Linked DNA regions of Styela clava. The main gene of each other region encodes a partner of the protein of the gene in region 2 in a complex. Links are inferred from orthologs where the notes say so. Each region holds a gene or a part of one and is shown on either strand. Other genes may lie near its edges. The genes, in order: general transcription factor IIH subunit 3-like, transcription initiation factor TFIID subunit 7-like, transcription initiation factor IIB-like and uncharacterized protein LOC120346397.

What was found.
Region 1: transcription initiation factor TFIID subunit 7-like (region 2) and general transcription factor IIH subunit 3-like share a complex: the UniProt entries of both Homo sapiens proteins name them as parts of the TFIID-containing RNA polymerase II pre-initiation complex. The link is inferred for Styela clava from reciprocal best matches to the Homo sapiens genes TAF7 and GTF2H3.
Region 3: transcription initiation factor TFIID subunit 7-like (region 2) and transcription initiation factor IIB-like share a complex: the UniProt entries of both Homo sapiens proteins name them as parts of the TFIID-containing RNA polymerase II pre-initiation complex. The link is inferred for Styela clava from reciprocal best matches to the Homo sapiens genes TAF7 and GTF2B.
Region 4: transcription initiation factor TFIID subunit 7-like (region 2) and uncharacterized protein LOC120346397 share a complex: the UniProt entries of both Homo sapiens proteins name them as parts of the TFIID basal transcription factor complex. The link is inferred for Styela clava from reciprocal best matches to the Homo sapiens genes TAF7 and TAF3.

The regions. Positions count from the first base shown.
Region 1 is NC_135253.1:5,671,270-5,679,822, forward strand, and holds the start of general transcription factor IIH subunit 3-like, read left to right. Parts: upstream 1-4,719; 5' UTR 4,720-4,721; coding exon 4,722-4,909; intron 4,910-5,068; coding exon 5,069-5,108; intron 5,109-5,576; coding exon 5,577-5,721; intron 5,722-6,510; coding exon 6,511-6,633; intron 6,634-7,113; coding exon 7,114-7,247; intron 7,248-7,947; coding exon 7,948-8,220; 3' UTR 8,221-8,553. Other genes in the region: uncharacterized protein LOC120325703, read left to right, coding at 2,609-4,228. UniProt on the Homo sapiens protein: Component of the general transcription and DNA repair factor IIH (TFIIH) core complex, which is involved in general and transcription-coupled nucleotide excision repair (NER) of damaged DNA and, when complexed to CAK, in RNA transcription by RNA polymerase II.
Region 2 is NC_135259.1:4,890,503-4,897,641, forward strand, and holds transcription initiation factor TFIID subunit 7-like, read right to left. Parts: upstream 2,370-7,139; coding exon 1,407-2,369; 3' UTR 1,071-1,406; downstream 1-1,070. Other genes in the region: PDZ domain-containing protein GIPC2-like, read right to left, coding at 1-77, 862-1,002. UniProt on the Homo sapiens protein: The TFIID basal transcription factor complex plays a major role in the initiation of RNA polymerase II (Pol II)-dependent transcription.
Region 3 is NC_135254.1:20,966,948-20,975,251, reverse strand, and holds the start of transcription initiation factor IIB-like, read right to left. Parts: upstream 3,365-8,304; 5' UTR 3,099-3,364; coding exon 3,085-3,098; intron 1,898-3,084; coding exon 1,729-1,897; intron 1,328-1,728; exon of another isoform or gene 1,326-1,327; coding exon 1,226-1,325; intron 465-1,225; coding exon 349-464; intron 3-348; coding exon 1-2. UniProt on the Homo sapiens protein: General transcription factor that plays a role in transcription initiation by RNA polymerase II (Pol II). Involved in the pre-initiation complex (PIC) formation and Pol II recruitment at promoter DNA.
Region 4 is NC_135257.1:9,008,399-9,016,989, reverse strand, and holds the start of uncharacterized protein LOC120346397, read right to left. Parts: upstream 3,615-8,591; 5' UTR 3,612-3,614; coding exon 585-3,611; intron 1-584. Other genes in the region: serine/threonine-protein kinase Sgk3-like, read right to left, coding at 7,655-7,735, 7,983-8,069. UniProt on the Homo sapiens protein: The TFIID basal transcription factor complex plays a major role in the initiation of RNA polymerase II (Pol II)-dependent transcription.

The DNA.
Region 1 (8,553 bases), on a different chromosome or scaffold from region 2:
CATTTCACCTTTTTTTTCGATGTGCCTAGATAAGTGCCTACCGGTAACAATTTATTATTTCTATATTCCAGTACTAGACTCAAGTGCATCTGTTGGATATTTACCCAGGCTAATCAGTGTGGGTGATATTTTTATTTCCCTGTCTTTTAATAGTGATAATTGCCAGTTTCTTTATTTTTCGAAGTGCCTAAATATGTGCCTAGCATATGTGGTGACAGAGCGCGTGCGTCTCCCTTTAGTACTACGTTTTAAAAATCATTACAGTATTGGGTTTAACTGTTGCAATTTTCGCGTTCAACATTTAATTTAAATATTTTGAACTAATTCATTATCTTTCTAGGAGTTACTACGTCCATTTCACCTTTTTTTCGATGTGCCTAAATAAGTGCCTAAAAAAGTGCCTACCGGTAACAATTTATTATTTCTAAACTCCAGTACTGGACTCAAGTGCATCTCTTAGATATTTACTCAGGCTAATCAGTGTGGGTAATATTTTTATTTCTCTTTCTTTTATTAGTGAATATGCCATTTTATTTATTTTTCGAAGTGCCTAGCTTATGTGGTGACCAAGCGCGTGCGACTGCCTTTAATACTGCGTTTTAAATATTGCTATTGAGTTTGCCCGTTGCAATTTGCGTTTTCAACATTTAATTTGACCATATTTAACTAATTAATTATGTTATTACAAGGTATTACGCCCTTTTTACTTTTTTCCAAAGTGCCTAAATGAGTGCCTAAAAAAGTGCCTAATTTGCAAGTGCCTACTTTTAGTCCGTCCCGTACACATGTATGTTTCCGTTTGGATAGCACGTACAATAAAACAATTTTTTACTTTTATTCTACATAATATTATATTACTAAATATACTAAAATTCGATGAATTGTATGACGACCTAATCAACACCTTACAGCCTTAAACACCGGTCTTACTACTTACTGAATACAGCGCGAAACACCGCAAAGAGCGCAAAACAGCGCGAAACAGCGCAAAACAGAGGGAAACAGCGCAAAACAGTGTGGAAACAGCGCGAAAGACCGCAAAACAGAGGGAAACAGCGCGAAAGAGCGCAAAACAGAGGGAAACAGTGTAAAGCAGAAAAAAATTTTGCAATGAGTTCGGGGCACCTTGTTTTGAGTTGGAGTACCACGGCAGCAAATTAAAAACACAAACCAACGTATGTAGCTAGTAATGCTGTAATGGCAGGTCTGCCCCTGCTGGTGACACATTTTGGGTACCATAATTCAGAACATTTTCCATATGGATATGGTTGGCTTTAGGGTTAGGGTTAGGTGAAAAGCGACCTCCAGAAGTATGTGCACCAAGATGGCGCACAACCTAAAAATAGTATGTGTGTGTGTGTGTGTGTGTAGCGGATTCAGGTTGTGCGACATATTGCTGCACATACTTCTGGAGTACCAAAAAGGTAGATAAAATTTCGCATGATGACCTATAATCCGGTACATAACCTTGTAAATATGCCGGAAATAGCGCCATAAAACCATGGCGAGAGGCGCCGTGGTTCTTTCGTGGCAGGAGGTGGTAATGACCAAAGCGTATATATAATACTGGAGGTGGTAATGACTGCGTCTCCTGTTTTGCGCTGTTTCCCTCTGTTTTGCGCTGGTTTCCTTCTGTTTCGCGCTGTTTTCCTCTCTTTTGCGCTGTTTCGCGCTATTTTGCGCTGTTTTGCGCTCTTTGCGGTGTTTCACGCTGTATTCAGTAAGTAGTAAGACCCGTTTTATGGCGCTATTTCCGGCATATTTACAAGGTTATGTACCGGATTATAGGTCATCATGCGAAATTTTATCTACCTTTTTGGTACTCCAGAAGTATGTGCAGCAATATGTCGCACAACCTGAATCCGCTACACACACACACACACACACATACTATTTTTAGGTTGTGCGCCATCTTGGTGCACATACTTCTGGAGGTCGCTTTTCACCTAACCCTAACCCTAAAGCCAACCATATCCATATGGAAAATGTTCTGAATTATGGTACCCAAAATGTGTCACCAGCAGGGGCAGACCTGCCATTACAGCATTACTGGCTACATACGTTGGTTTGTGTTTTTAATTTGCTGCCGTGGTACTCCAACTCAAAACAAGGTGCCCCGAACTCATTGCAAAATTTTTTTCTGCTTTACACTGTTTCCCTCTGTTTTGCGCTCTTTCGCGCTGTTTCCCTCTGTTTTGCGCTGTTTTGCGCTGTTTCGCGCTGTTTTGCGCTCTTTGCGGTGTTTCGCGCTGTATTCAGTAAGTAGTAAGACCGAAAATTTGGTTATGTTTGAGAATAAAGCACCTACCATCACTCTTCATGAAAAGCAGATGAAACAGTGAAATCCGCACAAACTACCGGCAAATATCGGTATAGAAATTTGAGAAATAATTCAATCTTTTGAAAAATGATTGCAATGCGCTAGAATAAATTAAAAATCTATAGGCCAATGTATGGGTGGGAATGTAGAAAACAGTGCTGTCGCAATTGCTATCTTTTATTTCTTTATTGTTTTTAAAAAAACAGAAAGAAACATAGGACTACAGCGATTATTGAGACCAGTAAAAGCTTTCAAACAGACTTTAGAATTCAGAACTTCAAACACAAAATGGCCACATGCAAGACCCAAGCTGCTCCGATTCTCGATGAAAGTGATGATGATTCATTTGAGGAGCTTGATGTGGACAACACAGATGATCAAGTGACTTGTATCTTTACAGGTGAACCCTTTTCATCACCATTAGCATATTACACTGCACTGAAGAACAACCATGGATTTGATATCTGGCAGATCGCTCTTTGTGACTTATCGTTAGACTTTTTCGGTTATGTAAAAGTAATCAACTTTTTGAGAAAAAAATATTTTAAAAAATCCCCACCTTCGAGTGAGGAGTTGAGTGCTCAAAAATCTGAGTGGGTTATTGACGATTACCTCAAACCAGTTATAGAAAATGATCCTCTATTGCGATTTATGCTCGACGATGGATCGGATTTTGACAGTGAAGATGAAACTGATTTTACGTCAAATCTAAATGCGACAATTTCAAATAATCCTGATGGCGATAACAAAATGTCTGAAATTCAAATTCTTCATGAAAAGCTTAAAAAAAGTGAAAAAGAAAGGGAAAACTTATCTATTAAATTGACAGCAGCATCGAATCAAATTTCGCAAATGAAATCTTTCATGCAAGATATTATACTCACAGGAGACGTGGGTATATATCGTCCTGTTGCTGCGTGTCGTCAAGATACTTCTGTTTATGAAGAAGAAGAATATGAAGATGCAGGTTATTTTGGAACATACTCACATCATGATATTCATGCCGAAATGCTTCAAGATACTGTCAGAACAAATTCATATAAAGATGTCATATTTAACAACAAAGAGCGTTTTGTGGATAAAATTGTATTAGATGTTGGCTGCGGAACTGGAATATTATCTATGTTTGCTGCAAAAGCAGGTGCAAAACACGTTTACGGCATTGATATGTCTGAAATCGCGTTTCAGGCAATGGATATTGTCAAAGAAAATAATCTTGATGACAGAATAACGATACTCAAAGGTCGTGTAGAAGAAGTCGATCTTCCTGTTTCGAATGTGGATATTATTATTTCCGAGTGGATGGGTTATTTTTTGTTATATGAATCTATGCTTGATTCTGTGCTTTATGCTAGGGATAAATGGCTTGTTCCGACTGGTGAACTTTTTCCTAACCATTGTTCAATATCTCTCATAGCCATTCACGATGATAAACTTGTGTCTAGCAATGTCACTTTTTGGAAAGACGTATATGGTTTCAAAATGTCTTGTCTTCGAAAACAAGTTTTATCTGAAGCAACAATTCAAGCGTTAAATCCTTCTTCTGTCATGTCCGAACCATGCGTGGTCCATAGAATTAATGTTGGAAATGTTCAATCGAAAAATCTTAATTATAAATCTGATTTTTCTTTGAAAATAATAAAATCTGGATCATTTTCTGCTATTGCTGGCTATTTTGACATCTTCCAAAATCATTCGGATAAAAGCGACCTAATGTTTTCAACGTCACCTTGTTGTACCCCCACTCACTGGAAACAAGCTGTCTTCTTTCTAGATGAAAGTATGAATGTGTCTGAGGGAGATATTATTCATGGAAAAATAGATTGTCATAAAAATGTCAAAGATCCCCGATCTCTTGTTATATCGTTGACTGTCAATGATAAGACACAATTATATAAGATTGAATAATGATTACATACGATGGTTTGATAATGTTATGATACAATTAGAGAATGAAGTCTTTTATGTTGAGTGCGAATGAATTTTAGTAAAAAAAAGGTATGTTGAAAATTTTCACCATACTCATAGATCAGTTTTGACACAATACACATTTTTAACTTCTCAGACCTACATGTTTTTGTGGTACCGGTACCATGTTTGCTTTCAATGGCACAAAAGTTTCATTTCGGTGCGGTCATAGAGTGTATTCTGTATCGCATCGTGGTTTTATATTTTGAGATTCTCCAATTACCTCCAATGATTAGTTGTGAATATTTAATTTGTTGAATGTTTTTTTGTATATGATTTAATTTTAAAATTTAGTTCAAATTCGTAATAGGCCAATGGTTTTAACTACTGCCACAATACACCAACTCAAACAATGACTTTATTGAGCTATTTCAATTAATTTTATTCAATCTGCCTAATGTTTTCAGTTGCATAAACTCAAAATATATTGCATATGGCTGAAGATAGTCAGCTTCTTGTTATAATATTTGATGTGAATCCAGTATGGTGGGGCTTGAAAGCATTACAAGGGAGAGCACAGATAGCAAGATGCTTGGATTGTTTGCTACTTTTTGTGAATTCTTATATGATGTTGCATCATGAAAATAAACTGGCAGTCTTGGCCAGTCACACATCTCAAACGTTAGTGCTTATTCTTTATATCTAATTGTATATTTTAGGAAAAAAAATAGAACATTTTTGATATACAGGTAAACATTAATGGAACATTAAATTGGGTATCAAGTGGATTTGTATATTTGTTTTTTTTTTATTTTCATTCATACAATCTTTTTATTTCAGAAAATATTTATATCCCAAACGAGAGGAATCATCTCAAAAAGTAAGGATATTTATATAAAACCTAAGTGATTCAAGAGTCTTGCTGCACTTATCTCTACTCTTGCTACAGCATCCTTGCAATATATGCATACGGATCCACGGCATAAAAGCATAGAAGAAGGATAAGTAGTTAGTCTCGCAGAAACCAAATAATCAGCGCTATTTATATAAAGTTAACAAATATTTTCTACCACCTATATACCATAAAACTTATTATTATATCAAGCCGCACAAGAATTGGCTATAACCTTGTGCGTTAACTCAGTATAAATGTATAATTAGTAAATGTACACAGACATAACCAAAGTAAGCAACACCAACTGGAATGTCTCCCCCGAGTACAGAGAGCGCATGGCTAATTCCATAATAAAATATTTGTTATTCAAAGCCAAGATAGACTAATGCTGTATTCTATTTGCGTACACCTATATTTTTCTAATAATTTGATCTATTCAAAAATATTGTTTAGAAAGATGGCGAAGATCACCAAAAATTTACGGCCATAAATGACACAATCATTGAAGAGTTCAAATCACTGATGACTACAAAATTAAATGAAAGTAATATTCGAAGTGATTCCTTAATCGCAGGATCTATGACTGTTGCACTCTGCTGTAAGTTTCATACCTAAAATTTCAGATTATTTGAGAGTAACAGTTTTGAGTGTTCAATTCAGTTCTAAATGTTGCAAATATCGATATCAACCTACTTATGTTATGCTTTATGTATGTCTCATGAAACGCTGTAAGCCCTCATTTAAACACAAGTTCATTACTAATAGGAATTGCAAGCAACCATTCATTCAATACCAGCTACATGTCAACTGATGTCAACACTCTATTTCATGCATAAACCTGTAGTTTGGCATAGATTTTCAGGTCAATGCTGGCAGAGAAATAAATTGGTTCGAAGGTTTTGATATGTACGGTAACTCTGTGAAGGGCTGAAATTGAGAAAAAACTGTTATTTGTTTCGCTATTAGTGTGATATACAGTGATCACGACTTTTCTTTGGAGCCATCATTAACTGCAAAAAGGGCAAGAACAAGCACTAAATCACAAAATTTATTCAACATGTGTCATCCCACTAATGTACCGACTCGAACTGATGCTTGTTAAATGGTCAAGATGCATGGTTCTGGAGGCGTCATTTCGGCCCGGGTGTTTAATAAGCTCTGAATTTCCGTTTGAGTACCGCAGCGTTTTTGACTCGGATTTTATGTTCGAGTGTCGAGTCGTTTGACTAGCGAGTTATCACTATATTATCTGATTATATGAATATTAATAAGGTTGACTGACTTTATAGTTTTTTTTCTACCAAAGGAAACGTAACCAGGTAGCATTCTTCACACATATACAGGTTTTCCACTTTTTAACCAACTTTCAATTCTTTTTGTTAACCAGATATCAACAAATTACACAGGGAGTCACGAATGGGAGAGAAAACAAGATCTCGTATACTTGTCATCAAAGCTGCAGATGATGCCGCTGCTCAATATATGAGTTTTATGAATGTAATATTCGCAGGTATTTATGGCTTTTGATATACAGTTGCAGCCACAGGTATAATAACAGACCACAATCTGAATCCCAACTGAAATGTTGTTCACCTTGTTAATTTGTGTGTTAAGGGATATGCAGATTGGCTTTACATAGCATAGCTTTCCTCAAAGTTGCACTAATGAAAAAGCTACGCTCATTGGGAAACAGAAAGTTTTTGAAACAATATTAATCAATATTAATTACAAAATAAACAATGACATATTTTAGGAAATAGAATCAATATCTTCTATGATTTTGTTTAAAAAAAGTCAAAGGGGATTTTCAGAAAAAATATGGTAACACATTGTGATTCTTTAGGTTTATCACAAATTCATACCATACTGAGAAATTAGTTTTTGCCATTATTAGCTGTTTGCAGAATGCTTCAATGCATTCATTAGCCAATACTCGGTGAAACATAGTCTACATATTGAGACTTTAACTGGTATGTTTTTATTATTTCAGCACAAAAGCATCAAATTGTGATCGATTCCTGTGTGTTGGGGCAGGATTCTGGTTTATTACAACAAGCATGTGACATGACAGGGGGGATATATATGAAGATTCCTAATCAAGAGTCACTTTTACAGTATTTATTGGTAATTTAAATTCAATTATTTTTTTTATTATTACTCTATTACTAGTGACAAGTACATATTGTTTAAACTGTGCCATTAGTTGTTTTGTTGTTGGGTCTGGACAGTCGATTTCAGTGTAATCTGCGTTGATGCTTTAAAAGTGTTGCGGTGACTGCAAAAAATTAAATACAAGAGGGAATGCAGGAGACTGTGTTATGGGATTTAAATTTGTGTATTTACTGCCACCTCGACCCACACAGAAATATATTTGGAACATTTGAGAGTGCGATGCTCAAATATATGAATACAAAGGCCAAAGTGAAGCAGTAGTCAACCTTACTTTATACAGTACCTTAACTAGTCTACTTTATGGTTTGGTCAAAATATTTCCGACTTTCGAGTAGCTCGATAAAGGTCTCAGAACCGCTACAAATAATTTTTATTAATTTTGAAGAGCTCATCACATGAAATTTCGAAGTGAAAAACCAATCACGAAGAGCCCACATAAAGTTTGGAAATAAATAAATATAATCTTTAGTCACTGAAAATTTCAAAGCTAGTGGTCCATTAGTTAATGAAACGAAAAAAGAGATTTTTTCATAACAAGAAGAAAAATACCAACAACAACAACATATTAAACATAATAACAAAACGATTCATTTATGTACACTTCGTGTCCAAAAACTGATTCTTTGATAACTTAATATTGCATTTGTTTCAGACTGCTTTTCTTGTCAATCCCGATCTTAGAAAACAAAGTTTAACTCTGACTTCATCAACAGAAAAAAGAAGTGGTGTTGACTACAGAGCTGCTTGTTTTTGTCATCGTAGTCTCGTCGATGTCGGTTTTGTCTGTTCTGTATGTTTGTCAATATTTTGTCAGTTTAGTCCTATCTGCTCTACATGTGAAACTGCTTTTAAACCACCTCCTTCGCTTGGACTGAAAAGTAAAAGGAAGAAACGGGCTGCTCACAATGGCCGCTCTACAACATGATGCCCAAAGAGATACACAGTGTCATAAGAAAACAAAACTTATGAATTTCTAAATTATATCTACGAAAAAAAAGAAATTTATTTAACACTTAACTTCTGTTTGTGTATGATTGTACCCAAAAGCCTCAGTGATCTGGGACTGCACAAAAGTTTCTAGAATAGAAAGGTTTCTAGAAAGGTTTTTTCTAGAATATGTTTTGAAGGACCTGGGTTCTGCTTTCTCTGGTCACCCTGTGTATCACATCAGTATTTGTATAAGCTACGTGTTAAGGAATACCGGTATGGCTTATTGGATGCAAGATACATGCAGTGTTCCAAGAGCTTGATTCAAGGG
Region 2 (7,139 bases):
GAAGTGGCAATTCTCGCATATAATTCTCGAACATTTGCGAAACCTTCGATCCTGCCGGTTGGGCTTCCATGAGCTAGCTGTAAAATGTAATATCAAATATCTATATAACTCTTCGATACTGAGGGCTTAAATTGGAACTCTGAAATACCAGCAAAGAAATTGTCAAAATTAAATAAATTATTATTCCAAGTATATACTAACAATATTTTTAAATAATCGAATATGTCCAACAAAGAACACATAGAAGATAGACATCGGTGTATATTCAATAAGCGTCAATTTGGAAATGAAGGAAAGTTACGATGAAAAGAAAAGGGATTGGTTATATAATTTTTTTGTCGTATTGTAAAACTACAATGGCTAAATAAAACACAGTGATGACTGCACAGGGGGTCCGCAACGATATGAAAAGAGTCTGATCGATCTTTAATAATTAATTTCAACAAAAAAGTCATTACATCTTTTTGGTTGAGCGTTGGGAAGGAATATCTCTCGCTGTCAGAAAAGGCAATTACGTAGTATTTTATTGTTTTTTGCAACGACCTACAAGTCGAGACTTGCCGTAGAGTCAGACAAACAGGGGACCGCTGCACAAAAAGTTTAGAAACCCTGGCTTAAAATGATAACTTCTTTAATAAATCTATCGTAAATTATTTCTAAAACCCAACTATTTGGTAAATATCTAACAAAATTAATAACAGTATGTCAGATTACTGAATAAATGGTAATTTTATTCAGACAGAAAAGCTCATACCGTCAGTATCAAATGCCTTTTTCAGCACAGGCTTCGTAATAATCACTTTCAGACCATAAGTATGGTTTGGGATTGAATAGCACAAAACCAACAATGTCAAATATTACCTGAGTATGGAATACAAGCTTTTGTTTAGGTTCTGGAGGTTGTTCGGTGTGGTTACTGTTAGTTTGTTCATAAGCATTTTCAGTCCGACCATTATTAGGCAAATTTTTTTTCTTCTTTTTCCCAAATAATCCAGAAAACATGTTGAATGATTATGTTTATCAAATATAGAAATAAACGGGATTCATACTATAATAATTAGATCTTGCAGTCTATAAAAAAAAGCAGATAATAGTAAGTGAAATGACTTTTAGTAAGCAAAAAAACAATTTTTGAATTCTTAAAATTTTATTGAAAATCACATTTTGTAAAGAAGGGATTTACATTGATTGAAATGACATTTCTACGTAAGTTTGACAAAGGATTGGTAAAAATGTTGTCCAAGATAAAAAAGCAATGAGTGCTATAATATGGGAAGATAAGCAAAACCTTTTATTTGCACCACATACATCACTGTATCCCAATTATTTACGTGTATATTTTCCTGATGTTGAGGAGAGCATGTCAAGAAGAGAAGAGTGAAATTGTTGCATCCCTTAATTAATAATTAGCGTTCTAGGCCCAACTTGGCTTTTGTCATAGCAATATCCTTCATATCATCTTGAATTCTGGAACGAACGACCTCTAATTCACCTTGAAATTTGACTTTTAACATTTCATTTGTGATTTGGCCTCTGATTAGTTGTTCTTTCCTTTCCTTACGTTTTTTGAGTTCGGACACTTCCGTCATTAATTTAGATAATCTCTCCTTCAATCGTGCTCTCTCTCCTTCATTGGTCACGACAGGAACGCCAGATGGAATTTCGATAAAATCTAAACTGTCGTCTTTATCAACGTCTTCCACGTTTACGTCATCATCGTCCTCTTTTTCACTCTCCGAACTAACTTCAGGAAAAAATTTATGAAGTTCATCATTTTCCAAAGATTGACTAGCATCATTAGAATCTGAATTTTTCGATTTATCGTCCAATTTTTCCTCTTCTGTCATTATTTCATATCTCACATTCACAGCTTCAATATCAGCTTTTAGAAGTCGTTTCACTTCTTTCTCTATATCAGGAGAGTCAATATACTTCTTTTTTGCCGTTTTACGAAAACGACGTTTCCGAACATTTTTTAGTGGTGGAGTAATTCCATGTGGCCATAGAAATTTCCGCTCTCTCAAATGATTCGATTTTAAATTTTGCTGAACATTAGAATTATGTTCACTTAAATCTGTATCGGGAGTACAAACAAGCATATGGCTAAGATTATTAGTTTTATAAAAAGTCTTCATATCTACAGTTTTTTGACATTCAATGACGCAAGGTAAGTCCCAAACTTTTCCTGAATAACATTCCCCATCAAATTTCACTGCACCATGTCGTAAATCATCATGCATATTCAATGTTAGTCTGTCTTTCAAATTTCCAGCAAGCATAACTTCATTGAGTTTGGTGGCAGCATCCGGAGGTAACCTCATTAAAAAGTAATTTTCCAATTCAAATGGAGCATTGCTCGGTTTATCCATGGCTATAATATACCTAAGTGTCTGCCAGAAATAACAATAAGAAATATTATATCAACATGCATCTAGTAATATGATGTCGAGCATTGCATAATAGTGTATATATATTGCTTGGCAATAAAATTTCAGAAAAAAATGAAGAAAATTAATTTAACCCTTGAACTTCTTTTTGTGTATGATGGAAAACGAAAGTTTCAGTAATCTAAGAAACTTTGCACAAAAATTATGTTTTCTCCAGAATATAGGTTCTGTTTTTTAGGAGGCAGCCCTGTATATATAATATATCCTCAACTTATATAAATCTACTTGATTATAATAAACAGACCTCCTGAAGTATGCGCACCAAGATGGCGCACACCCTGAACTCAGGTTGTGTACCAGGTTAGGGTTCAGGTTGTGCGACATCTTGGTGCCCATACTTCAGGAGTACCTAATGAACAATAAAACACAATATTCGTAAAACGGAAACACAATTCTATAACACTTTTAGCAACATATCATCTTCTGAATTGTAGGAAAGAATCTTCCAATAGTCAAACTTGACTGAGTACAACACACAAAAAATTGAAAACTCAAAACCAAATGACTGAAGGTATTCGAGAATTTGTCATTATATTATACTTGTACAATATTTCTTAACTGTCTCGATTTTATAGTATAAAATAAAAGATGAATTCCTGCAAAATATTGATATTCAAATACCAAATATTATCTCAAAAATCATGACAGGAATAATAAAAAATTACAAATAGAACTCATCACTGAATAATAAATGAACTGTATTTTATATAACATATAATAAAAAGATTTAAAATGCAAATTTAAAAACATTGCATAGTATTATCATAATTTATTACTATCGATTACCCAAAATATTTAGGCTTAATATCAATGAAAGTAAAATTCCATACATTAGGCATTCCTTCATGATAGGAAGAATTTTGTGGCCATTTATATGGCGGAATATCACTCAATCCACCAACCGTCGGCCCATTTATTGCATGAGTAGTAAAGGACTTGGCCAAAAAGTAATCGGTTGCTTTTGAATCAGTGCACCCCATATAATTTGAATCATTGCGACAACATATAGCATTGCAAGCATCACCTTCTGAATATTTATCAAATTTATAGTTGTTGTAACGGAGAATTTTTTTCATACTTTCCATATCAACAACAGTGCCTTGATCACGTCGAAATATTTTTGCTCTCGGAGCTAAGTCATGTGACAAATCAGGATCGTTTTTGGTAACAGCCGGATACCCACTCATATTGTAGATAGATTCATAAAAGGGTACGTTATAGGAGGCCCAGTATCCCTCCCTTAAGATATTTGTTTGGTCATGAGATTCAACAAATCCTGGTATTTGTTCCACAACATACAACGCACCATCTTCGAAACCAATTTCAGGCGTGAATTTTTTCAAGTCAACCACCATGTATTGATTATTGTAAGTGCCAGAATTGTGAAATTTGATGATTTCGCCCCAATCATACCCATTGCTAGCTAGAAGATTTGCTGCACGAACACGATGCCAAGCTAAAAGGGATTTAGGAGTTACAAGATCATACAAGCTAGTATTGTATATATTGTTTGTAGTTTGTAATATAACCATTTCACTTCCCAATATATAGAAATCATCCCATGACTGGAGAAAACCAGGATAGCTAGAAAATGACATTTTTGAATTTTTATGTTCCTTACCGAAAACTTGAAAATCATAGTTCTTATAAATACGAAGCATTGCGCTGTAAACAAACCAGGTGCTATGTCCCATATACATGTTTTCAAATCCTGGAGTAACTTTAATAAGAACAGAACAATGACCATGTTTCTGGTTATATTGGCGAAGTTGTTTTTTTGACATTCTTTTAAAATGATTTAGCGATGGTCTATGGAAGACGTTAAATAAATCTAACATGTCTCCTGCTCCGTTCAACAAATGCATTTGGCACATGCTCATACTATTATTGGCTGTCAGAGTATATCCAGCCAGAAGTCCCTCCAATTGACTTTGCATGTACCCAACGGCTTCCCATCTAATATCACCTTTCCCAGAAATCACATTCTCCTTTAACCATTTTTCTTGCTTGGCAAAAAAATCACAAGAACGATTGTATATATCAGCAGGTCTGTTATCAAACAAAAAACCTTTCAAATTCTCATAATTTTGATATATACGCTTTGATGTAAGAGCTCCTTCTAACATTCCAGCGGCATACATAATTTGATCAGGAGAGTATTTCATGTTATGCGTCGTTGCAGTGATGTCGAGGATGCCCCATCCTTTTTCTGCAATCTCATCATTATATTGTCCATAAGCCAATGCTTCTTTCACAATTTCTCTCTTGTATATAAACACTCCATCAGAAAGAACAATACTTCCCTCCTCAGCCAAGCATATAGATTTTAGACTTGTTGATATTATTATAAAAAAAATTATTTTGAAGACTTGCATTCTGAAAGATCATGTCCTGTGAACAAGTAAACACAAATTACTGAATTATATGAAATGTAATGATAAGTTGTTTTAACGAAACAATGATAAATATATGTTAATGAACCTAAAAATCTGTATGTATTTATATACCGATAATAATGTTTTTAAACAATTCCCAAGACACTATATTCTGATATTAGGCTATTATATTTTTCTTTTTCAATGGCTCCACAAAGTGGATTATTATTTTCTAACATCTTCAAAGGTGAATGAAAGCCCGAATATTAACTCAAATTGTCATGTCTGCATGTGCCAAAAAATGATCGAAGAAAGTCCGAGAGGCGAAACATTTGGAACGAATCGGCCGTACAGTTTTAGAGTAAAAAAATGTTTCCTATGTTCAGTTACTACAATTAAATACATTTCAAATAATGGCAGAAAGAAAATTTTTAAAGTTTTAATTGAAAAATTCAGATAAGAGTTTCATGGGTAGAAAAAAAACAAAATTCCACCAAATCAGCCAATATTAAAACTATTGAAAAACTTTTAAAATCAAATGCAAAACCTAACAGCAGGAGCATTATACCATGATTGTAGCAGGTTACAAGCACATGGTATGCCACTTCTGCAATATTCTGATATTCCATACCTGACTGAACCAAAACAATATTGTTGTTTAAGCTAGTATCAATACGGTACCGGTACTGTAACAACTACAGAACTAGGAAACTCCTATTCCTCTCCACCAGTGTTCAAGTTTATAGAAACGTTAACTACTTCTTTAACGTACTACTTCGGTACTTCTTTTATTAATACCTTCCCACCTAAAATATGTAAAACCTTACTTGAGGTTTCGTTTGCTTTCCCGATTCTATATTCAGTTTCATTTATTTTGTTTTCATCAATTATCTTATCGTCTATTGCTGATTATGGAGTTGAAATAAACTTATATCTAATAACTATTGGATTTTCAGTGGATCTTGCACCATATAAACTTACACAGTTATGTGGAGTATACTCTCATACCATTTACAAACTGTCTAGTAGAATCTTTTTTTTTTTTTTTTTGTGCCAAATAAATTCCAATGCCAAACGGAATTTTCGTATTAATATTTTGGTATCAAATCATTTTATTATAAATATATAAATAGATATTTTTTTTTGTTTCCATGTTTTTGTTTATCATTTTTTAATTTAATCCCATTCCCCCCAATACATATGAATAGTAAAAATCAAAATAAAGACAAAATTCATACCATTACCATGATGTCATTAATTTAATATAATCCAATATATGTCCAAAAAAGTTGAGTTAATCCACATGTAATCCACTCAGCAGTTAGTTGAATATAATTTTAATTTACAGGTAATCAGTTTTTATTTTAATTTTTTAGCATGAAAAATACAAGAATACAAAAATTAGACAGAGAATATGGAAAAATCCACGCTTTCATATTGGGTTTTTCCCATTCGCCATCTATGTTTCATAGTCGATACATCTTCCTCTTATGAAAATGATGTACAGATAACATACTTTCAATAATTTTCAGAGTATGGTGTTGCATATAAACTTACATCATGATTGACCTATGTAAAAGATCATCCATGTGCTCATATAACAATAATTCATTTCTTTCGCTTGCTTTTAGTAAATTTAAAATCCCTACCAGTTTACACTTGAAAATTGAACGCATACTACTTTTCATTTTATCTCTTTCATCATATTTTACTGAATTTCGATATTGCCAAATTGTTGATTTTCCGCATAATATTGTGATTAATTTTGATTTGCATTCCGAATCGTTTGCTATAATAGTATTTTGATTAATATCTATGCAACACCATTGCCAAAAATCACTAGACCAGTCACATTCTAAAAATAAATGACACACAGTTTCTTCAACATTATTTTCACATAAGACACACATTCCTGGTTCATCAATGAACCATTGTTTTATTTTGTCTCCAGTGGGCAACCCATTATGAATTAACTTCCAACATAACTCTTTATACTTGTTTCCAATATTTATTTTCCATATTTTATTCCAATTAATTGCCTTAGTTAGGTGAAATTTATTAAATATGTATTCCTCATGGTTTTTCAAAAATGTATCATTTTTCTTACTTTGTAAAATCCTATAAATTTGATTAGTGGTCAAGTCTTTCGACCCATTGTACCTATCAATTAATATTCTTGTTTGACCAAATTCCCTATTCCTTGATAAAATCTCTCTCCATTCTATTGGAAGTGCTTCCCATATTTGCCGTAATTCATTTTCGCACTTATTTATCAAGCAGTTTCTTCTTAAAGTACTTATTGCAGAGTTTTCTAGCT
Region 3 (8,304 bases), on a different chromosome or scaffold from region 2:
TCCTGAGAATCCAGATATGAAATTAACATTAAAATTTACTAGTAAATAATAATGCTGTGAGGTTATCGTCTTAGAGTGCTTTTTAATAATATCAAAAATGGATCTATCGTACTCCTCAGAAATAGGAGTGACAGCCATCATGAGAGCCAAAATTTTTATTATAAAAATGATTTGAACCTAAGGTTTGCCAATGGCAAAGTTTCCTATTTGCACAAGAGCCAGAAGGATGAGTAAACTAATGAAGCCAAGGACTTTTGATGGATCACAGTTTCGAAACTTTCTTTGGTTGTTAAGTAGTCAACAATCAGACAACCTAAGCCATAAACAAACTTTTATCAATTTTCTTACCACAATGTTTTTAGGAAGATTTATTCTGTCAGCCATTGTTGCTATTTCTCTAAAAGCACCGATTAATACTCTGTCTGCACTATTCATTGATTTTCGGTTGGAAAACTTGGCAAAACCTGAAAAATGGTTGTACATGTATTTGAACCTTACTGAATCAAGTGAAATAATTAAAATCAAACACTTCATTCAAAAATTAATATATTGGTCAGGGGTCGAGAACCTTTTTGGTCAAGAGTGCCATGAAAGGTACATATTTTAACTGCATTTCTGTGCGAGCCATAGAGCATTTCTTCCTTAATCAGGCCTGAAATTTTTGCTCAAAAGTCAACATACAATGTCAATATACATTTAATGTGACTTCTGATGCTACCTGTTGTCGTTGCAGGATTGCTGACATGCAGCACAAGTTGAAATCTATAACACTCATCACCCTTCTTTCGTTTAGGAATCTCCGTAGTATTTCAAAAACTAGCTTTGTTAATCTAATTTAAATATGACAAATACTGTGACTAGTACGTAAAAACAGACTAAGCTTTATTCTATTGCTCCGCGATTCTATCGCTTTGTGATGTCACGAAAGATGTTCCGGAATCCCCTAGTTTTGTCACAATGTCTGTCTGGTAATTCTCCTATATAACATAGACATGTGCTGGGCGTTCTCAAACATATTGGCAAATTTGGCTATAAAAGTGTTTGAAATCTTGTAACAATAGTAAGCTTAGCCTTAGATTTTTCTGGGAGCCATATGTCGTTACCAAAAGAGCCATATATGGCCCCCGAGCCATGGGTTCCTGACCTCTCATATAGGTTGTACATAAGAACGATTGATATTCCTATACCCCACAGGGGTGAATGAAATTTAATCACACTGAATAACCTGAATCATCTCCACCAGGACCAGAAGGTCGCTCAATTATTGTTGACAAGTCACTTCCAGAAAGTAGTGAGTTTTCTGCATCTCCAACACGAGACATATCCTGTAATCAAATTATACAATCATATAGAATATGATCAAATAGATTGGTTGAAAACTAATTAAGCAAGTTTAGCATTCTGTTACGTTTCATTTTTATCTGCCGGGTGCCATTGGTAAGCCGCTGAACTTTGATTGAGAGATAAAGCAAGGAATCGTATAATTCAAAACAAAAACAATTTCCCAGCTTCAAAAAATAGTAACTTTGTATTTCAAGTGTTTTCCATATTTCGTTGATGAAAACACTGTCATGACATCTGAAAATAGCTATCGAATCATTTCGCATTCAACATCTATTTATAGAAAAAATTGGTGATTTTTCACAACAAAAATTTTTCATATGATCAGCCATTTTATACATACAGACATAAGAGAATACAAGTATAAAATACATGAACTCAGAGTACCTTAGAGTCTTTATCATTGCTGAAAGTACGCCACTCCGACCCTACATCCACCACTCTGTCACCAACTACTAAGCCACATTCAGGACACACCATATCCCCTGCCCTGTAATCTTCAATCAAAGGAGCATCTGGATGCTGAGGGCAACAGACTTGACGATGATGATTTTTGCTGAAATATTTGAAAACAGTGTTGAAATGACTCTTGATATTGAACATATTTATTACAGCAGAAGCCAAAAAATTATGACAACATGAAGACATGGCAATAGTTTCTTATTGTGTGTTCCACATAATTCAGTACAGTGATAGTTACATTGCATAAATTATCATTTCAAGCAATTGAAATCTCAGAAATTGATCAAAATTCCTTTATTATATTTTTGAGAACAAATCAAAACACTGTTTTTAATCTGTAATTGTGAAATGATCAAGGGTTTTGGCCTACCCCAATTCACAATGCTGCTAACACAGGTCTGCAGGTTTTCTAAATTCTTTAATTTATTAAAAAGATGATAAAAACATAAAAATACAATTTGAACTGCAGTACCGCAATACTAACAGACTGATGATAGATCTCATATTTCCAATAAGGCTGATTCCTCGCTTTAAACAATTGTTTTTACATGAGTACCATGTTGTTTATCTCCTGAAATTTATTCGTACATGTAAGGCTGACTCTTTGCTGATTCGAACAATTGTTATGTGTCCAAATTTACATTTGAGTATAGTAGTCCAATAGCCAAAATTGTTTTTTTATTTGTGGGGCTTACTCCTCACTTTCAAATAATAGTGTAATCGTTGATTATTTGCCCAAACTGTTTCATTTCACAAATCTCATCATTTAAAAATTGATTTCACAGAAAAAAATTATTTACTTTTATTTAGGCCTACTTCATTTTTTTGTTTGTTTGTTTTTCCAAATTTTGTTTCGTGAACTTTAACCATTTCTAATAGTCATATTTTACTGTGAACTTATCATCGTAAACTTAGAGGGGGCTGACTTCGATGACCGCATGGTCGTATCGCTCCTTCCGAAAAAAGTGTATTTTTTATAGCCATTATTTATTTATTATTATGTTTTTTTTTAAGGTCCACGTTGTGGATTCATAACAGTTTTGTAAAAATAAATAAATGATGAAAAAATAATAATCATAGAACATAGTTACATATAATAAACAAATATATTCGTAAACATCATTCAGTATTATCCAGCAATTCATATTATTCCATTGTTGATTTCAGATAAAGTTTCCCATGTTTATCAGTAAATATACATTAATTTATATGTTTTTAATTTATAGCTTATTATGACTGTAGTTTTTCTGGTTGACGAAATAAATCTCTCTCTCTACTCACCTAGAACCTGACATTGTCAGATCAGATTCTTTGTCTACAGTTGAAAACCCTGTCTGTCGGTCTCAAATACAAGACTAGTTTCAACACTGTAACAGCAGAACAGAGCTTCGAATGAAGGCAGAATTGCTACCTCGGGAGTTTTCAGACCAATGAGATGTTCAGACACGCGCCATAGGCCTGATTTACTGATAAGCTAATTCACAGATAGGCTGAATTTTTCAATCGTCGGTTGAGGGTTGATGCAATGTTTTTCGACCTTTGACCTCACAAACCTGTTAGGACGAGTCCGGTATTCGGCGAATCCGAGTAAAGTAATAGATCATGGACTCGAATCGAATCGTCCGAGTCTGTGACGTCAAAGTGAAAACGGCAAAAAACACGTTTTCGATTGTGATGCAACAATACGCGATCAGTAGCGTACGCCGTACTGCGTTCTTGCCAAGTCCATGCTTCCGAAAAACAATATAACTAATCCCATACCCGACTTGGAATGGTAACCGGACGAGAGGCCGTGGTTCGCCATATGGATAAGCCGTCTTATCGGCTTTCCTCTCCCCCTGGATAAATATGTAAAATCCTATCCTATCCTAACTTGCATTGGAACGGATACGATGATTTTAAACTGAACTAACCGAAAACGACAAAAGAACCCAACACCCCAATCCATGATTTGTGCGTAGACTGCTATGGAACATTCAGTCCATTTACCGAGCTTGTTTTTCAGTAAAAAAATAAAATAAAAATTTGTCACTGTGTCACTTTTGCAACGTAATTGAACTAGGCCTACTGCATCATCATTTTTCGGCAGCGAGTGTTCTTTAATCCATATATCTGTAGGAAAAGCACATACACGTCTCACATTTTAATTTGAATTTATAAGATATTGCCCGAGGTCACATCGTGTTTTTGGTTTATTGTGTTTTGGGGGGACGGGCACGTACTTGTACGTATTTAACTTTATTATTGAGTTATGCCCGTCCTCCAAGTCCTCTGTATTTTGTTTGCCCTTTGTTGTTGTTTTGCTTTTTGTTTGTATCAGAGTGACCAAATAAAATTGATTGATTGATTGATTGATTGATTGATTGATTGATTGAACTTGTTTTTTGGCCACATGCTCACAAAACAGAAACGAATGCCAAGCGATGTTCGCTTTGGCCGTAAGCTTGCTTTCATGCCCACCTACGTCAGTTAATTCAGAGCGTATTTTTAGCACGACTGGCGTTGTAAAGTCGCCGTTACGTAACCGTCTGAAGCCAAAACGTCGAAATATTAACATTCTTGCATGTCAATCCGGCATGAAATGATAACCGGACGAGAGGTCGTGGTTTGCCATATGATTTAACTTTATTATCGGCTTCCGCTCCCCTGATAATGTAATCAATGACATTAAACAACATGATGCGCAACCCAGGCATTTTTGGCCGAAGATCGTATCCGATAGCACGCTCCAATGCACATACTTGACGAGACGAAAACGAGCGGATGTGTGCTGCTTTCAAGGCATAGCACTAATGGTGTTCGTTCCTGCTTTGACAGTTGTTGTCGATTTTAATGATATATTGGAAAATTGAAGGTAAAAAGAAATCGGAAAAAAGTAAGGTAAATACTATTGTTGTATATCACACCCGGGCATTGCACTGTTAAGTACATGTGGGAAAGCCGACTTTTGCCAAATACTACGAAGTTATTAAATCAGTACGGTACGTAGTTGCCCATTTGCCGGAATTGCATATTTACTTACCCCTTACGGTTTCAAATAGTTCATGCACCTCCAATTAGATTATTTTTAATCAGTGAGGATATATACTCATTGCTGTAACATACTATTGCTCATTCACTTTTATTTGCGTATTGAATCAAAGGGTTAACAAGTTCACCTAACATTTCACTCATACCGGTCTATATTGTATAGTAATTTTCTGTAAACCCCTTTATTAGTTGGTTTATATACCAAATTCAGTAAAACATTTTTTACATAAAACATGAGATATTGGATTTATTAGCTTTTCCAATCTAAATCATATAGACTGCTTTATTTATTCTTAACGAAAATTATTAAATCTCCTCTCTTTCTTTAGATGTAAAAGTTGTGGGAAAACCTGTCTAAGCATTGTGGGACTCCTGCAGCACAAGAGGCAATAGCAAAAATAGAAAGTATATCAATCAAGAAATTAAGCCGACATAAAGCAAAACTTTCAACTATTCGTCCAACCTCAATTTTCTATTATTTATTCACATGACAACTGTAGCAGAAGGGGAGATATCAGAAGTCTGTCGACATATCAGTGACAGTGTGATTCCAAGAAATACAATCAGAATACTCCATAAATGTTTGCAATAGAAGAACAACCTATGGAGACATGCAAAGACATTTGACCCTCCGGTAGAGTTGTGTATGGCCCCTACATCCTGCAGGGCTTAAGGAAAATAACTAAAAATTCCAAAGCGTAAGATTGCATAAGCGGTCTTATTCGTAAAAATGCACAAAACATGCCAGACATACTTAAAACAGCTTTGGAAAATGAGGATTATGGGTCACTCACTACACCTGTGTTATATTTGATTCATCAACTTTTGGTAGTAGGCCTACTAAAGAAGAAATTCAGGAAATGGTATAATCATGATTCATGATAAAATACTGTTTTATATTTAGGACAACTTCAATCTAGACCAGGGATATCAAACTCGCGGCCCCGGAGAACTTCCAGTGCGGCCCTCGAACGCTTAACAATAATTGTAATTGTATTTTGGAGTTTTTTTTATCTAAGTGTAATAGATTTTTCAACCCTTTTAAAGTGAAATTGAATATTCACACAGAAAGCAATTTACTGAAAGTAGTTTTGGAAAGTTAATTTTTTTGTTCACATTTTGACCCAATTAAGAATACACATCAAGCTAGCAAAAGAATACTTGAATAAAACACTTGAGTGAATAAATTGAACGCAAAGTACATGAAGAAGGTGGCATTTTCGAAGAAAATGGAAGTTGCAATATTTCTGCATTTCACAAAATTTTGAAGCACATTGTTCAATTTGTCATATTTTCATCAGTACAATAAAAAAACACAATAAGCTCGGCAGTCAATATGACAATTTCGAAGACCAACTTCGAACAGAAAATTACCATGTGTTTGTATATTAATATAAATATACAACGAATTAGTGACTAAAAATTAATATCAATATTAATTCAAGCAATCCTATGCAATGTGGCGCGAAATGTCGTGTCGTATCTGTCATTTGTTTTTTTACTGATCTATTCATGAAATGATAAAAGAAACTTTTTTGCATTACTGGAATTAATTAAACATTCGCAAAGATCTAGAAAAACCCATGATCACGTGTCCTCGTTAGTTAGAGTTGGTACTATAAAATCATTTCAGCCTTGCCTTAGTATGCTGGTGACACAAAAAAGATGCCAAACGTCAGGACAAATGTAATTAAAAAAACATTGAGTTTATACTGTAGTATTTTTGTTAATTTCAAGTCCATGTATTTAGATTAAGTCATTTTTAGTGTATGTATTATTCTTTCCTTATCTAAAGCTTGTTCAAAAATGATTTTGATGGTTGTATATAGAATTTTATGATTTTTTGTAATAAATACAGTAACTTGCAATAATAGTGGAATGCAAATATTAATATGTAATTGCATTTGAAATTAAAGAAAATAATAAAACTTAATCCAACTGTTTAGTTGCATCACAATATATGTCACAAACTAAAACTATCTGAAAAATATCTTTCAAGTATACATTATCAAAAAGTGTTTTTGGCCCTTTTTACAATTTCCAAAATGCAATGCGGCTCTCAAAAACCCTTGAGTTTGACACCACTGATCTATTCTAGACGATTCAAGCATTGCTTTGGGAAATAATATCACTGCAATTAAATTGAAAAAAATCTCGCTATATTGAATACAAAATCGTTGCTATCATAAAGGTAAACCAATTCAGCCACTCGGAATATATTGGCCTTCACAAAGCAATGGAGGCAAAATTGAGAGTTCATGAGCTATGAACTTATGTTCTTTTCTTTGTCTTGAACTTTATATACTCCACAGCCCCTATTAATTTTTTTTTAATTTTAATTACCATGTGATGGTCATACATATCTTTAACTTGTATTTTCTGTCATGATGTATTATCTCAATGTGTCAAACTTTTAATTAGTGTGCATATTTTGCTTCCAGATGACATAAATGTACAGTATTGTCTTGTTTATTACCTCAGCTTGGAGTATTGACAAGAAAAAGGTGCCCGTAAATTACGTAAAATGATTTTTAACTCTTTGTTATAATCAGAATTCACAATTAATAGGAATCATAAACAGCCAACAATCAATGAGAATTATATGCCAAATCCCTCAGAATAAATTTGTCTTCTAAAATCGGAGGAAAGCAAAACATATAGGCAGTTTCCATTCATACAAGTCTTTCATGAAAACTTGCTCGAGCCAAACTAAATGAGCATCGTCAGATGATCGGTAAGATAATATTAATTAGTGGGCTATGAACTAAATTCCTAAATTTAGACACAAACCTATCTACGAGGCATTATGTACCAGCAATGTTACCTACGGTTAACTAAATATGTAATATATATGTCTAATAAATTAACCTACTGAAGCATGTTCGATAGGTGCAAACTTTGTGTTATGGAATTGTATCACAGCACCGTTAAGAGAAGTAAAAACAGTTTTGCATGACACTCTCTTTAAATGAAATTTCAATGTTTTAAGCGCAAACATTAAAATTACTAACTTTGTCATTATCTGCAAAATGTTCCACACAAATCTTTACGCTATCGCGTTTGTAATCTTCTCTGATAAAAAAAACGTCTATGATGTCCAGAATTACTCTTTACAGCTTGTCTGCCATTCCAGCTTCCCAAGTGAGCAAAACTTCTTAGATATAGAGATTATTTTCTTTCGTTACAGGCGCAAAAAGGCAGGCACTACACGTAAAGTAGACGCCGAGTAGCAAAAGCGAGCGGAAAACGGTCGTGAAAGGCGACGAGAAATATGTGCATTGGAGCGTATCATGAAATACAATCTTTCGCATGTAGTCTTATGGAGTGACGTCAGAGTTGCCTATCATGTTGTTTAATGTCATTGATGTAATCAATCAATCAATCAATCATTTATTTTGGTATGTGAATCCAATCTAATTTCAAATGCCAGTTGTTGAATGTTTTGAATCAAAATGATGGTTTGAAACATAT
Region 4 (8,591 bases), on a different chromosome or scaffold from region 2:
ATTTCAGGTGTGTCAAAAAACAACATTAAATTTCCATGGAGTGAAAAAACAAAAAAATAGTTACATATACGCAATGGGCAATCACATACAAGCTAAATAAAATGCCAGACAAATTACACACTTGATCAGGTGTGGTATTGGCTGAATTTGACATGGATATGTATTTTTGAGTAAATGGAGCATCAATTGCGTGGAATCGGTTAAAAATCTCAGCTTATTATACACTCATAAGCTAGGGCATTCGATAAATGACAAGAAAATATTCTATATAATAGGAAGGTTATATATTTTTTTTTAAATTAAAGAAATGCGAATTTTTTGAAACCACTCAACTGCCGTATGAATAGAATTTTATGATTAAAGTGATTTTTTCTATGCGACTTTTCCACACTTATCACTCTGAACAAAACCAGTACAAGATTTATAAGGAAAATAATATACTAATATCAGGAAAGATTATCATGCTAAATCCTACACAGCAGTCTAAAATGATTCTATATTTGGAAGTAAAATCGTATTAACAGTTCCACTTGCAAGTTGCATCAAATGCTAAACAGCGGGAAAAGTACAGAAAAAATGCAAACCTTATTCCCATCTTCGTCTTCATATACACCGAGTGGAGCCGGAGCTGGGCCAGCACTTATCGTTTGAGTGATAACTTTTCTTTCAACAGCAGCTGCAAAACTCTCTGAAACAGTTTTTACACTTTCTACAGACACCTTTCGTTCTTTGGCAGGTATTGGGCTGTCGCCAATAGAAGAATGTGACCGTTTTTTGGTACTAGATTTGACACTAGAATTGCCACCTTGCTTAATAACAAATTTTTTCTCACTTGCTCCCATTTTTAATGTTAGTTTTGGTACCATTGGGGAAGGAGCATCAGAATCAAAAGAATCACGTCTTAACGATATAGCGACGTCTTTCTCAGGATCTTTAAATTTTTCTCTATGATGACTTCTTTCTTTGCTTTCCCTTCTTATTTCTTTATCATGTGACCATCCAATATCAATATCTTTGTCCTTATCTCTATCTTTCTTCTTCTTTTTCTCTTTCTTAGATTTCTTCTTTTCCTTTTCTTTGATTGTTGCTGTAACATTCATGACGGGAACTGCAGCAGAAAGTTTTGGCAATGGTAAATTTCGACTAATCACCGGAGATGGTGGTGAAGGTGACCTTGCGTGTTCTTTCACTTTGGGTTTGACTACTTTTGCATCTCCGCTCTTTGACTTCTTCAGAATTATTTTTTCCACTGACATATCGTGTTCACCAGAAGATTGTTTAACTTCCGATAATTTCGGTGTCGAATGCTTTTTATGTTCTTTTGTCTTATGATGCTTGCCTTCTTTAAATTTATGTTTCTCTTCTTTAAATGGTTTTGGTGTTTGTTTCATGTCAGCTTTAAACAAATCTTGATCGACGTCAAAAAGTTTAGGTTCAGGGTGTTTCAAATGTTTTAGTTTAACTTTCATTTTAACTGATTTTTCAGATATTGTTTCTGTGGTAACGAAAGATGCTGGTTTATGAATGTGTTTATCCTTTTTCGATTTTGAATGCGATTTGTGTGAGGATTTGCTGCTTCCATCATCTGTTCGTTTCATTTTCTTTTTGTGCTTCTCTTTTTTACTATGTTTTTCATGTTTGGATTTTGACTTCTCACTGACAGGTGAAATTTTTGGCGGTAATGGTATTGATTCACCTGAATCAGAATCAACGATAACATCTTCATCTTCATCATCTATGTCAAGAGATTGTGGAGTTTCTGCGGATGACGGAGTAGGAATGGGAGATGATCCTGGAGTAGGAGGATGTGCATCTCTTAGTCCTCTTTCTTCCAGTTGCAACATTTGTTCCACTTTATGAGAAACATCCGCATCAGAATCTGATGAACTAGAATCCTCTACAAGATGAGAGAATCTCATCAAATCTGCTTCCTCCGCATCTTTTTTAGCCTGCTCATCTTTCTTTACAGTTTCTTCTGAAGCTCTATTGATAACAGCATCAATTGCATCATCCATAGATTTATAAGATGCAAAGTTGGAGCGATCTTTATCTTCGAGACTTTTGCCAGGAAAAAGCTTCTCTTGTTTGATTACAGGAGAGGTTTCTCTTGAAGGAGGAAAATTTAAATTCTCAACAGGATGCTTGAGTAGTTTTTCAGCTCGTTCAATGCTAGATCGCACTGGAGACTTAGGAGGTGATTGCAGACCAGGCTCACGTTTTACTGATTTTGGAGTTTGAGGTTTGTAAGCAGGTACAGGAGGACCCTGGATAAGTCTTTCTGCCGCCTCAATCTTAGCTTTTATAGGCTCGTCCCCTAGGTCAGCTTTCTTGCTAGATGATGAATGTTTGAATGATTTATATGGTTTGTGATGAGATGATTTTCGGTCAATACCTTGTTTCGAAAAATGTTTGTGGCTTGAAGAACTGCTTGGAGTCGAAGTCAATCTTTGCTTTCCACTTTGAGGAGTCATGAGCTTTTTTGAGCTAGGTGTGCCCTTGTTACTAGGTGTAGAAGAATAATCTTTATCCTTACTTAGCCATGGTTTCTTTTCCACCGTGGAGCTTCCAAGTGATAAATCTGGTGTGTGTTGTTTAGATAAATGGACAGGAGATGCAGTTTCACCTTGCAACCAGTCAGCATCATACACATCAGCAGTTTTTTTCTTTCCAGACAGCCATTTTGGGTCTTCAGATTTTGTAGTTTTGGACGCCCAAGAATCCTTACGCACACTTGAGCTCGTGGATGGCACATGACGCTTTTCTGGAGTGGGTTTATCAGGGCTCAACCATGGCAAGTCTTGAAAAGGTTTAGTCGTTTTATGAGATGGTGTGTAATTATGTGGCTCATCGAAACTCTTTTTCCCTTTTACTACAGGTCGTTCATGTAATTCACTTGCCGTTTCAAAACTACTTCGTCTTGTTGGTGACATGCTACCACGCAGCTCATCCCATTCAGACATCATACTACTTGGTGCAGTACCTTCAATTGTTGGAATGTCTTCTGGTTTTGTCAAATGACGAGACTTCACTGGGTTATGTGATAGGGAATCATCGGACATGTATTCTTCATTCGATGCCTCACCTGCAGAATAATCATCTTCATCAGAGGAAGAGCCTTGTGCTTTGCCAGCAATGACAAATGTTGCTTTCTTACTTTTTTGGCTTTCAGGTAAATCATTTTCTTCAGTTTCAACAATTGGTTTTGGTGGTGCAACAATCATTGAAGGCATGTAAAGAGGAATATGTTCCGCTCTGTCAAAATCTTCAGGATTATTACCAGAAGGAAATTGTAAATTCGAATCCTTTGGTGCAGGGAACATTGGCACCTTATGTGGGAAAGCAACCGGCTCCATTTGTTGCATGTACTCGACTAAATCAGGGATAGCAACATGCATTCTTTTTAATGCAAATTCTACATCCAATAGGTTCGGTTTTGTCTGACAACATTGTTCACTAAAATCATGAACAGACTTTGATAAAACAAGTAAATATTGTTCCAACACATTGGTGAGAATGTCAAGAGAAGATGATTGAATTGAATCAAATCCAACAGCTTGACTAAGCTGAGCTATAACAACTCTCAGCACACTTCTGCTGTATTTCTCCGCCATGACAAAACCTTACTTAAATACGGACTTTATGAAATATACCTGGGTATAGAAATACAAGTAAAATATTTTAAATAGCAATAATCAATATTCAAATGTATACAATGAAAAATCATGATTTCAAAAATGAAAACAACACAAAAAAAAATTTTCAAAAATAATTCTCATACAGAAACATTTGAAAAAAATGACAAATAGGATGAAGTCAATCTTTTTGTTTCCAGAACGACAACAGTTATATTACACAAGGCACGAATTGCACAAATAAAATGGCTGGATTCAATGAATTTTATTTATTAACGAAAATGGCATAGTCATTATTGTATACAAAGTAAGATGATATGGAATGATCAATATGTCGATAATAATTCTGACACCACTCACAATAATAGTATTTGGGACAATTATCCTGATGACGGAAACATTACTGCAATAACATCAAAATTGATTGTGATGAATGCTGACAAAGAAACTTTTCATTGGAAGGTTTGTGAAAAATTTCAACCTGACCCATAATATAATATTAAAGACTTTGAAAAATAATAGCCAATTTTGATTTGAATCTTTGACACATTTTTACTTTAGATTGTTTCCAATCGATCACCTAACATTCCAGTACAATGCATACTTGATTGCATAATCGATTTTTTAAAGAGACACTGATAAAAAGTTTCCACAATTTTCTATATATTTCTGGAGGTTGCAAAAACTGATGAGCATTGAACTTATAACTAAATCCTATGCTCAAAGTTACAAAAAAACAGACAATGGAGGATATTTTAAAACGTTTCTCTTTGTCAATTTTTGAACAAATGGTATTTTCCATCAACTCAGGGAGATACAAACAAAAAGTTTAAAAATTCACTTCTGAAAGATTTCAACAATATTGCACAATATATTAAGAATGATCATTTTATAACAATATTAACTAGTTTACCATTAAGTATGCAAGATGGTATATTACGAAATGCAATATTCGTCCACATTCAAGGCAAATTTACCATTATATCACAACAACAAAAATCATGTTTATGGTAAAACAGACATAACTGGACATGAATAAAATTATTCCAATCAAGAAATATTTGGAGTATAAAAAGTAATATAGCCAGAGGATGAACACATTATAAATACCTATATTACTTCATATAATCAGGTTTTGCATATAAAATGAGCATTAGAATTTATCAATGATGATCAACTGGTGTTCAAGAAATGCAAAACTGCATGTTTAACAGTAAATGGCAATAAACAAGCATTTCCTATTAGTAAATAATGGCAATATTCATTGGTAAATTACAATTGACATTACAAAATTACTTGTTTTCAATGTCAATGTTCAACTTTTTTCTATTACCATTGTGTTAAGTATTGTTGGTCTTCATTAAGAGTGTCACTGCACGATAATCAGTATTATTTTTTTCAATTCCAATTTTACATTCTGTATATGCAGCATGCATTTCCATTATGGGGGAAAATAAACTACTGATTCTATTACTTATAACATTGTACACCTTTTTATAAGGTGTGTTTGCTCTGAAAAGTGATCTTGACAGGCATTTATTCATACCTATAGAGCTATTATGTTGAATAACAGCATAAGCTTTAAAACAGTAAGCTGAACATAATGTAAAGAAACATTACAAGCACATTATAGTTGCAAGAATACAACAAAATAATCACATCTCATGTCAATAGTATATGCACTCTAATATATGAAAATATCAGCTTTTCAAATCAAAACACAGTGATACCTCGGCCGTCGAACATAATTCGTTCAGGACTGGTGTTTGACTACCGTGACAGACTACATACACATCCTACTACGTTTTGGCCTTCGCATCCATATATTTGGGCATCTCTCTTGAATGGTCAAGACGCGGACGAGATGCGCGGATTGGGAGACGTCATCTGATCATCTCACTCGGCCACATGCTCAGGTGTTCGAGCACCGAATTTACGTTCGAGTACCTCAGCATTTTTGACTAGAATTTTTTAGCCTACTACCAAATTATTAAGAGTATCGAGTTGTTCGACTACCGAGGTATCACTGTACATTCATCTTATATATAAAAACAGTTAACATTGAGAATCAAAAGACAAACAGTCATAAACATTTGAATTCAAAAGCACTGCCAGAAATGTTGGCTCAATTAAAGAAAAAATCAGAGATAGGCAGAAAATCAGTTAAATCAAGCAATTGCCTATACATTTTAATGCTATTTACATAAAATGTTATGTAAAATAGGCTTGTTTTTTAAAAAATTTATAGTTCTGCCATCAAGCCAAAACTATAGCCAAAATTTTCTGGGTTCATGTGATAAATTGTTACACAGATTACTTTACCCCATATAATTAATGTCATATTTCAGCCTAGCAGATTATGTATACAAATCTGTTGCTCCACTGAAAACGCAGAAAATATTATGAAATAGCAACACTGATAAAATATATATATATTTTAACGTTATTTTTTGATAAAGGCCGTTTAAATGGAAGAACGCACTGGTTTGAACACAATTTTGGTTTGAACAAATCTGTTGGCAATACAATTCAGTGAAATTTCAATCTTTGTGAAAATGTTATGGAAATATGCATACAAGTATGTTAAGATAACATTGCATAGGACTTGTTATGGAAAGTCTAATAGAAAACTGCATGAATTTTAATATTTCATATTAAAGTGTATAAGAACGGGCATAATTCAATTTCAAAATTAGTTAACTTCATGATGGGTAGCAAAAACTATTGATCAAAATGATATCAACATTTTATGCAATAATATAAGGTGAGCGAGATTTTAAAAAAGTAAGAATCTGATTTCAAAATGATGAAAAACAACCAATTCAGGCTTTGGAAGAAAAAATAAAAGCTCTCAATTTGCATGAAAAAAGGCAACAGAATGAGTGTTGAATGAGCGAGTATAGACCTTAAACCATGTCACATCCATGAAATACAGTTATCATTTTTCTTTTTACTAAGAGGTAGTAGGCAATGTTCAATTTACAATCACATATCTGGAATTCAAGAAGGGAGAACAAAAATTTACTTCAAATGAACATACTTAATTTGTTATTTAATAAAGTTCAAATTGTTTGAGAGATTTCAATACTGTTACAGTATACCGTATATGCTCGTTTTACCGCCCGATCTTGATTAAGGGCCTGTTTGAATAGCCGCCCGTGTGAACAAAACATAAAAATAAATAAGGGCCCGTGCTTGAATACCCGCCAGATGTAAAAGCTGACTTTTTCAGTGGTAGAGAACAATAGGAAATAAGAAGCGCTTTTGTCACAACGCTGTTGAATTTTGAGCGCCGGTAGATAACACTCACGCCTCAGGCGTCCAAGTCAAAACAGATAGCATTGATTATGTAACACCATGGTTTTCAAACTGGGCGTCCCGATGCCCAAGAGCATCGTTTCAATATTGATGGGGCGTCGCAAATCTTTTCTTCTTTTGCGGATTTGTACCTGCGGTGCGTAGAAAATGTCAAAATTTTCGTTATTCTCGTTTAAACCATACTTGAGAACTGGAAATAACAATATATTATTTATTGTAACGATCGAAAATAACAAGCGTCCGTGCTTGAATAAGGGATGGTTTGCATTAAGGCCCGGTTAGTGAGTTGGTTGAAAAAAATATGGGCCCGGGCTACAAAACGAGCAAATACGGTAATCATAATTTGTCTTACCAATGTCTGATAACTCAAATTTCGCGAAAAAAAAATGGCATAAACCATGATCAAATGGTTAAATTTAGCATATTTCACATTAGTTAAATTTAAATCTAGTGGATATTTTGAAGACATCAAACCGATAAGAATTCTCTTCAACCTGCTTCATGTTTTGTTTTCCCGATACGAAGTCTGTGGCCAGAATGCCCCATACTCACTCCACAGTTCATAGTTTGACAAAAAATCATGAAGCAAATTGTTTAATTCAAACTATGCTGTTATTTTTTCCACCCAATGTGTCATAGAAGCCTTCAGATCCTGCATTGTTTCACTAGCATTGTCCAAGCTCAAGATTGCCATAAATGCCAGGTTATGAGTTTGAAAGGATAGAAGGTGGTGCATATGAGAATCCAACAAAGGCATCATCAACTTCTTGAACACTTGCATTTACCTATAATTTAATGTAAACATTGCATGTTATTTTAATATAATATGGAGAAAGGATATACATACAGATATTGGAATAAATCAATCACATTGTTGTGTGAGACACAGCCACAGGCCAGAAAATGTACTAACAATCAGTTACAAGATAGACTTAATTAACAGCAAATATTGATATATCAGTCTTTTGTAGCCACAAAGTGGCAAGCTGATCCATTGAATGAAAAAAATTGCATCAATACACACAAACTTACAGTATGGTCGTCATTTTCCCCAAGAGATTCTGGAACAGGTTCTTGAACAAATTCTGGATCAACATGCTTTAAGTCTTCAGGCCCAGCCTTGTATGAAAAATATATCATAAAATTTAAACTGAGAATATCTTAAAACCGCAAAACAAATCTATCAGATAAAACAAAGTACAAAAGATGTTCCAGCTCGCCAATATAATTGAAGACAAAATTTGTTCATGAAAATTCATATTGGTAAATTCCTTATTCTACTAGCTCAGTGGTTCCCATACTTTTTAAAAATAATTCCATGACAGAACCTTTGCAATTTTTTTCAATTATTCCTGGCCTTGAGCACTAGAACAAAACATTAAAAGATCACAACAAAAAATCAATGCTCCGTTAATGAACATTAAAATGAACAAAAGTCTATGACGATGTTCAATGCACTTTAAAGCGAACTGGCATAACTTCATAAACTGCCTAGTGCCTACTGTAACTCCCTCCTATACCAACAAACATACAAAAAGGCAGCGTCAGCTACATCTCTGCAGTTATTTGACTTGTATTGGCTTGGCAGCAATTAAACTAACTCTGTGATATCACAGGTCCACAGCTCTGTGACATCCCAAT